Linked DNA regions of Coturnix japonica. Each later gene encodes a partner of the first gene's protein in a complex. Links are inferred from orthologs where the notes say so. Each region holds a gene or a part of one and is shown in the gene's direction. Other genes may lie near its edges.

Region 1 (4,389 bases):
ATTAAACAACAACATTTTATAACGGTGTTTGCACGAGTTTTTACTGGCTGTGAATGGAAGATCAGCTACCAAGGGCTTTTTAGCCACGTCATGCTATCACAGAATATCCTGAGTTGCAAAAGTTCCACAAGGATCATGGAGTCCAATTCCTGGCTTCAATCATTTGTTCAATCCAATTGAAACTGAATAAGCCTGGTTTGTTATCATGTATTTTCCGAATTCTAGAATGTGTCCTATGACGCTTTTCTGCACTGTAACAGATATTCAGACTACATTTTATATGTCCCATTATTCACAATCAGTCAGTACCAGATTCTCAGAAATACTTGGTTTGAGGTCACTCTGCAAATGCACTACGGATAACACTCAGCCCTACCTGCTTTAGAATGAGGCATCAGCGTTCTCAGGTCTTGCATTAGGTGCCTTGTTCTGAAATTAATCCCACGAGAGGAGAAAATAAGCACCCGCTCCTTGTTCTTCCATTTACCCTAAAAAACAGACAAAAGCGTTAAACAAAAACCTTAATTTTCTTAAAGTTTCTTACAACAACACCCATTTGAACCGCAGCAACAGAAAAGATGAGCAAGAACATTCATAGCAATCTCATCACCCGCACAGAAACTCCGCAAAGGTTCGACTTCTGACATTACTGCTCACTGCAACGCATATATACAAAAGGCACATAACAACATTAAGAACTCCGCACACAATGGATGTTTTAATAAGAGGGCCCGGCAGAGGCACAGGCTGCCTTCAGATGAACATGTGCTGCGGGCTCGGGCCGCAATGTGCTTCAACGAGAAGCAGCAGCAACTACAGCCATTCCTGAGGCTCCTCAGAGCAACTCCGACACCAAGCACACTCATCATCCATAAAATCGTCTGCATAGAACTCAACTGAAGGCGTTTCTAGATTGTGGTAATACAGCTGAATCGATCGGCCAGAACAGCGCTTTTTTGTCAGCGCTTCCCAGGACGCTATTTCTGTTTGCAGTAACATAATTAGAATGGAACCGCTTCCCAGGACGCTGCTTCTGTTTGCAGTAACATAATTAGACTGTTACAGCCCTCACAACCCGCGCAGTGCCTGAGCTCCCCTCAGCGCCCCGACTCCCAGCGCCGCCCAGCTGGGCCCCAACGCGCCCCGCCGCTACCTGAGAGACCGGCGCCGGGATGCTGTACTCCTCCGGGGCCGCTCCGTCCGGGGCAGCCTTAGCGGTGGCCTCGTTCGCAGCCGGAGCCGCCTTCACTCGCTTCTTCGGCCTCGCAGCAGCCGGCAGCTCACGCTTCCTCTTGGACACCGCCATCTTACAGACACCGCGCCGTGCGCACCTCGCACTTCCGCCCGCTCGCCGCGCCACCGGAAGCGCCGGCGCAGCTGATAGCCGTGGCTTCAGGCCCCTGTAGGCCCGTGTAGGCCGCGCTAGGCCAGTCCGGTCCCGTTAGGCCGCGGTAGGCCCGGTCCGGTCCCGTCAGGCCGCGCTAGGCCCGGTCCGGTCCCGTTAGGCCGCGGTAGGCCCGGTCCGGTCCCGTTGGGCTCCAGGAGCCGGCCATGCCGTTCTCCACGCAGTCCCCCGGCAGCAGCGAGCAGTACGTCCTGACGGCCAGCCTGGATAACGCCCGCAATCTGTCCAGCCTCCTTAGGGCCGTCCACTTCCAGGATCATGCCACTTGCTTCGCCACAGACAACGGGCTTCGGGTGACTGTAGAGGATGCCAAATGCATTCAGGCCAATGCGTTTATCCAGGTAGGGTCTGGAGGCTGAGCTGCTTCCCGTGGTTAACGGTGAGAAGGGGCTGGTAGCAGCGTTAGGGACTCGAATAAGTGATGTGGTAGAACTGGTGTACAGAAGATGAGCTGTGGGGAAGGGGAAGCTTTAGTAAAGCCATAGAGTATTTGCAGAAGCTAATGTGAGGAAGATGCAGTGATTAGAATGTGGCCATTAATTAATCATATAGTGGTTGGGAACAGTCACATTGTCAAATCCTGCCATAGACAGATCATAAAATCATTCATGTTGGAAAAGACCTTGATGGGATGAGAGGTAATGGTATCCAGTTGTTCCAGGGGAGGTTCATGTTGTACGTAAGGAAAAACTTATTCTCAGAAAGAGTGGAGAGGTGTTGGAACAGACTACCCAGGGAATTGAAGTCATTGTCCCCAGAGGTGTCCAGAAATGAGGAGATGTAGCACTGAAGGACGTGGTTTAAGGAGTCTTGTGGGGATGGCTGATGGTTGGACTAGATGATCTCAGCAGTCTTTTCCAACCTTCATGTTTCTATGCTAAGTCCAGCCATCAACCTGACCTCCTCATTATCATTAACCCAGGTCTCCTAATGCCACGTCCACACATTTTTTAAGCACCTCCACCACTGCCCCAAGCAGCCTGGTCCAATGGTTGATCACCCTCTTCAGAAGGAGAGTCTTCCTCATACCCAATCTGTGCCTCTCCTGGTGTAACTTGTTATCATTTCCTTGTGCCGTATCACTTGTACCTAAGAAAACAAACATCTCCATTACTGTGATTATGTGTTAGGTAGTTATAAGCAAATGAAGAGATCTCCCAGTCACTGAAAATGTAAGACATGAGTAAGTTGTGAAGTAATTGGAAAAGCTTCACTGTTTTCATCTCTTACTTTTCTCCCAAAGGCGGAAATTTTTCAGGAGTTTCATGTTCAGGAAGAATCAGTCGTGTTCCGAATCAATTTGGCAGTTCTTCTTGACTGCTTGACCATTTTTGGAGCCAGTTCTTTGCCAGGTATAGTGTATATATATGTATATATTCCTTGACTGTGTGTATGTATAGCCTGTAATTGCACAGTGAAACCTGTGCTTGTCCATAGGTAGATATCCAGTCTTAGTAAAACTTCTGACTTCTTTACCTCAAGCTCTTCCAAGGGTGGAAGCTCTCATCCTTAAGAGGTTGGAACCTGCAGTTTAGTACTTGTTGAACAAGTGTCCCATTGCTGTGAACCATAGCAGAAGTCATCACATTGAGAGAGAGTACAGATACAGCTTGGAATTTCTTAAAATTTCTTAAAAGAAGCAAAGTGTTCCCTTTTATTATGGGGTCCTTTTTGCTCTTCAACACAAATGTTGAATTATATTCCTTTAAAAAAAAAAAAAAAAAAAAAGGGGAAATTTTGTTTCCTGGGAGGTTTTTTTTTCCTGCTTACTTAAGGAGTGTTCAAAAAGAAGTTTTCACAAGCAAAGTTTTCACGGAGCACTGGAACAGGCTGCCCAGGGAGGTGGTGGAGTCTCCTTCTCTGGAGATATTCAAGACCCGCCTGGATGCCTTCCTGTGTGACATGGTGTAGGGAGCCTGCTTTGGCAGGGGGGTTGGACTCGATGATCTCTAGAGGTCCCTTCCAACCCCTACAATTCTGTGATTCTGTGAAAGATTGTTACAAAGATAGTTAGGCTAGCTGTGTGGGTCCTGCAGGATGCACTATATATTCATATGGAGTAGTGTGAAAGGATGTGGGCTTTCTCATGCTGCTTTACCACTGGAGCTATGTGTTGAACTCCAGATTCCTCTGCTGTTACTGCTGTCTGAACTGAAGACCCAAACCTGAACTGCCCTGTGATTTTAGTAAGCTAAACATTCAGATGTTTAAGAAAAAGAGATTCACGACCATAGTGCGAGCTAAGCTGTGTTAAGTTTTGTTTGGTTGAGCTATATGACAGGAAAACCTGAATTTCCTGAAGTGATAAGATGCCCTGATGGACATTCTCTGAACAACATGTATTTCACACTCCTTTTCAGGAACATCAACAGCTCTTCGGATGTGTTATCGTGGGTATGGCTATCCCTTGATGTTGTTCTTAGAAGAAGGAGGAGTAGTGACAGTGTGCAGAATTAATACTCAAGAACCTGAGGACTTGTTAGACTTTAATTTCTGCAGCACCAATGTCATCAATAAAATTATCCTGCAGTCAGAAGGGCTACGAGAAGCATTTTCTGAACTTGATATGACCAGTGAAGTTCTGCAGATTACCATGTCTCCAGATAAACCATATTTCAGGTACTAGAAACTATCTAAACTTCAACTCAGATGTTCCTGCTCATCCTATTTGCTCTTCCCTTGGTGAGAAATGGAATTTTACAGAGTGAAGAGGAAAAGCCCTTAGGAGAATTAGAGTCTGGGGGTGTTGGTTGATGAAAGACTCAACATGAGCCAGCAATGTGTGCTTGCAGCCCAGAAGGCCAACTATCTTGGGTTGCATTGTGAGAAGTGTGACCAGCGGGTAAAGGAAGGTGATTCTGCCCCTCTACTGTGCTCTTGTGAGACCCCACCTGGAGTACTGTATCCAGTTTGGGGCCCTCAACACAAGTAGGAGATGCACCTCCCCTACAGGGATTGGCTGAGAGAGCTGGGATTCTTCAGCC
Region 2 (4,317 bases), on another chromosome or scaffold:
GATAAAAAAGGTCAACAAACACACCACAGGTCTTTCACAGCACTTATATTCTCAGCAATCCCCACGCTGCTAAAAAACAGAGAAAGAAAAACAAAAATGAAAGCTTATAATAAGGTTGACTAGGCTACAGGAAAATACAGTTCACCTCTTTATCAACAGCTTGTGGAAGCAGGATTCGCAGAGTAAATACTTGCATCAGAAGTTGAATGTCATTATGTATCTAATAACAAGGAAAGCATGTATATCTAAAGGATGAGAGACCTGGGACTCTCCAGTCTAGAGAAGAGAAGGCTGAAAGGGGATCTCATAACTCTTTATAAATATCTAAAGTGAAGGAGTGAAATTGATGGGGGCAGACGCCTCAGTGGCAAGCAACAATGTAACAACGGACAATAGGCAGAAACTGGAACAACAGGAAGTTCTATACTAATAGAAAGAAAGACTTGTTCACTGTCAGAGCGCTGGAATAGCCTTCTCAGGGGTGTTCTGGAGTCTCCTTCTCTGGAGATATTCAAGACCCGTCTGGATGTCTACCTGTATGAGGGATGCTAAGACTTAGCTGGGAAATTACTTGACCAGCATCAGCCAGTAAGCTGGAGGGATGAGAAACCAGAATACAGACATAGCAATCTGCTGTAAGCAACAGAACACAGCCTGACCAAAAATGGATTTAAGTGCTGGTATAAGACGTGGGAAACAGAAAAGTAGAAAGGAGTGGAGGACAAATGCAGGTACAGTAAGAATCACCTGGAAAGACACACAGTGGCAAACACCCATTAGATGAGCTCTCTATGAGCAGGAAGCACTGGGGCCAGAGGCTGCTCAGCAGCTGAAGGCCAGAAACTTCCTAAACAGGCCAAAAGCTGTTTTCAGCAGCAGGAAGGTGCTCACAGCTCTATAAAGCGATGAGAACGAAGCAAAAGAGCTCGTGATACTGAAGAACGAAGCAAGTATCCCCTCAAACCTACGTCACCCGCTGTAAACCACAACCCTCACTTCCCGGACTCTCAGACCTCACCGGGCCACGCAGCTCCTCACAGGGAAAGCCCAAACAACGGGAGAGCGCAGTACAACAAGGAATGAACGCCGAGCTTCGGTCCCAACTCACCCCCTCCCCAGGCGAGCAGAAGAGGCGCAAGGAAGATCCAGCTTCACCACCTGCAGCCCGGCTCGGATCCACCCCCCGCCATCGCCATCGGTTCCCTGTTTGAATTTGGCGCTCAGCGGTTTCTTGCCATCACGTGGAGCTCCGGGCCAGTGAAACGCAGCGGCGGGCGGGGCCGAGCCGGGCGGGCTGATGGGTATGTACTATATGGGGTGGGTGCTGAGCACGGTGGGGCTGTGGTCACCTGTAAATACTCTTAATTTAAGGGTCGTTATCCGCTTCGAGAGGAGTTATCCGAGCTGAGACTGTGAGGCTCCAACCCTACAGCCAGGTTTGACTCTTCTGTGGTTTGACTCTTCATCGCTGTGTGTTACCGGGAGGAAAGCGTGGCTCCAGCTGCCTTCACAGAGACCTCCAAGAGCATCTGGACTTCACTGGTTGGTGGATAATAAGGTTGTGTCTCTAAATCTTCTGGCATGTTAAGGGGGCTGGTCAGTTGTTTTGATAATATGTAGCAAGCGGTTATTATGTAGCTTTATATATTGAATAAGAAAATGTACTTCTTGCATGGTATTTTCTCACCAGTGTCAATCTGCTTCTACATGGAAAAATATCCTCGTACCATGAATATGCATGTATTCCCCTGATAAATAGAGATGTTTACCTCCTTTTGGTGTGCAGGCTAGGAAGGAGTTAACCCCCTGCACCCAGCCAGCCAAGTAACACGTACCTGCTCTACAACTACTTTGTGTTATAAAGTTTGTTATGCAACTCAGTGTGGCTGTTTACCATCACATGTTTGGTTGTGCCTTCATGAAGCTTTGAAGCACTTAATTACTCATTCTACTATATATATATATATATATATATATATGCTAAATCTGCCTGGAATCTGATAAAAGATATAAAAACTACTGGTAGGTAACAGTCTATATGGAGATCTGCATGTTATTGTACTAGTGTTTTGTTCAAAGTCTTTATCTGAGGTTTCTAAATAATTGTTCAAGTCCATTTCCTTTTATTTATTTTCTACAGATTTGAGGGTGCTTGAGCATCAAAGTGCTTTCCTCCTCCTCCAATTGGTACTAGTGAGCATCATGAGGTTTCAAAGCGGTTTTATCTTATTGTCTGATGCCTCCCAAAAAGAACCGTACCCGGAAGACTAGAAAGGCAGAGCTGGTATTCATTGAGAGTCAGTGGGAGGCACCCATCCGTTGCTGTGAAACTCCACTGTGTGTGGCTGAAAATCCAGTATGTGTTTCTACAAAGCCTGTAGACCACAACACCTTTGCTGCCTGGGTTGGTATACGTTATCAGTTTCTCTGTGTCTTGCAAAAACAGGTTTTTAAGTTTCTCTCACATCTCAACAGAAAGTTTTGTATCCTGATAATGAAAATCAACAGCATGGACCTGAATTCATTATAGATGCCTAAAGCATAAATAAGTGCATATGAGTTTTTTTATGTTCAAATATAAAAAATAAAATCCTGGGTATTTGAAGGCATAAAACTATAGTGTATACAGACTGTGGTTTCTATTTGTCTTCTGAAAATCTAATTCTGGTGAGGAAGAAGCTTTCTTTCTATGGCAATTGAAAGATTTACCATGTAATTTTTATATATAGGTAAGTTAGTGCTATGGCTTCTGAAATGCTGCATGAAAGAATTGCTGTGATAAAGTGTGCTTTTTGTTTGGAAGAGCTTCAAATAACCACGTTGTCCTTTGTTCTAAATATCCAGTGATTTCTCTGAAGTCAATAGCACTGAAGCTATTAGATGTTAGAACATACTGGTAGGTTTACAACTCCCTGAACTGTTCTCTATGGATGGATATCACTTGGTTTCACTGGCAACTGAGTTCCTACTCAGATTGAGGTTTCTGCTCTTTCAGACCCTCTTGACTGTTAGGCTCCTGGTAAAGCCTATGTGCTATGTTCTCTGAAAAGGAAGTCCAGGTCAGTTGTTCACTTGTGTACAGTTTGTGCTAGGATACAATTACTGGAAACATGAGCCATGATTGTCTAAAGAATGGCTTTGGTTCAGTCAGTTCAGGTGTACAGTATATAGTCAGTACCCATAATTAGCTTGCACTTAGTTTTTGAGGGAATGTGTAGAAACCTGAGAAGGCTAAAAGGGGTTTGTGGTTGTCATAATGATATCCAGGTTGGGATGCTCTAGGACTGTTTTGACTGACTTTTGAAACCCCAGAAGATAAAGACTACTGTAAAAAGAAGGATTTGCAAGTCTTGAGTAAGTGCCCAAAGTCTTTCAATGAAGTATAGGTTATTGAGCTTTGACAGAAAGCTGATTTTAGTAGAATTGACTTTGTGGTCATCTGTTAATCTTTGTGTTGTAGAGTAACTGTTTGAGGAAAGCATGTTTTGGGGGAATATTTTGAAGGCCTAATGAACATTATCTTCATATTACTCCCATTTGTAGCTATAGTTGCTCAGGAATATTTGGGCCATAATAGTTCACTTGTACTCCACTCGCTTATCAAAGTGATAGAACAGAACTTTGAAGTTCAGAGGTGTTTCCTGCTTACCAGCTTGGATAACAACTAGTTTGCTTTGCTGCAGGCCAGCTTACCCATTTAATCAACACACTGAGGAAAGATGGGATGGGTGGGGGAGTAGAATAAGGTTGGTGTTCCTCTGGAGAAAAATACCATTTTGGTTTTTTGTTTTTTTTTTTTTCTTCTTATGTCTTCAGGTGTGCCCCCAATTTGAAACAACTAAGTCATTGGTTCTGAGAGTGTGTCAGAAGAAGCAACGTGGTTCTCACAAGCCTCAGAATCAGGATGCCAGCTCTGGCTTGCTTCATGCAGAGAGAGCTTGTCGGAGATCTGTGGCCTGCAAATTTCCTCCTTTAAATTTTGAGAATTCAGAAGAACGTGCAGTCCGCTCCACGGATGTGCTGAGTCACGCAGGAAAGAACACACAGCATTCTCACGGCCAGTGCAAGAAAGGGATAGGATCAAAAGCCAACATCCAGGTGAATGGTACTGAGAACTATAGTGAAACACCATCATTACCTGTTTCTCAGCCTACAGAGCCAGAAGTCTTCAGTCCACTAGATATGGGGATGCCACAGTTGCCTTCTTTAAAGAACTGGACAGGTAGCAGCGTTCTGCCACAAAGCAGTAGTTGTGCTGAGTTGGTGTCCAGTGTCAACCACTGTGGGAGCGAGCAATTGGCAGCAACACTGGTTACG

What was found.
Region 2: the proteins of RAD1 (region 1) and RHNO1 are in contact, whole or in part, in a crystal structure (PDB 6J8Y), measured with the Homo sapiens proteins. The link is inferred for Coturnix japonica from reciprocal best matches to the Homo sapiens genes RAD1 and RHNO1. Residues at the interface, in NP_002844.1 of Homo sapiens: Asn47, Gly48, Ile49, Lys50, Phe64, Ile65, Gln66, Ser149, Lys155, Ile157, Glu211, Ala212, Lys240, Val241, Ser242, Arg244, Gln254, Tyr255, Met256, Phe266, Glu268; in NP_001239428.1 of Homo sapiens: Ser55, Trp56, Val57, Ser58, Pro59, Asp60, Phe61, Asp62, Thr63.

Annotation. Positions count from the first base shown.
Region 1 is NC_029547.1:9,684,599-9,688,987, reverse strand, and holds the start of RAD1 (cell cycle checkpoint protein RAD1), read left to right. Parts: upstream 1-1,420; 5' UTR 1,421-1,551; coding exon 1,552-1,746; intron 1,747-2,648; coding exon 2,649-2,757; intron 2,758-3,765; coding exon 3,766-4,024; intron 4,025-4,389. Other genes in the region: BRIX1 (ribosome biogenesis protein BRX1 homolog), read right to left, coding at 377-488, 1,154-1,306. UniProt on the Homo sapiens protein: Component of the 9-1-1 cell-cycle checkpoint response complex that plays a major role in DNA repair. The 9-1-1 complex is recruited to DNA lesion upon damage by the RAD17-replication factor C (RFC) clamp loader complex.
Region 2 is NC_029516.1:68,392,711-68,397,027, reverse strand, and holds the start of RHNO1 (RAD9, HUS1, RAD1-interacting nuclear orphan protein 1), read left to right. Parts: upstream 1-1,302; 5' UTR 1,303-1,558; intron 1,559-2,140; 5' UTR 2,141-2,236; coding exon 2,237-2,404; intron 2,405-3,816; coding exon 3,817-4,317. UniProt on the Homo sapiens protein: Involved in microhomology-mediated end-joining (MMEJ) DNA repair by promoting recruitment of polymerase theta (POLQ) to DNA damage sites during mitosis.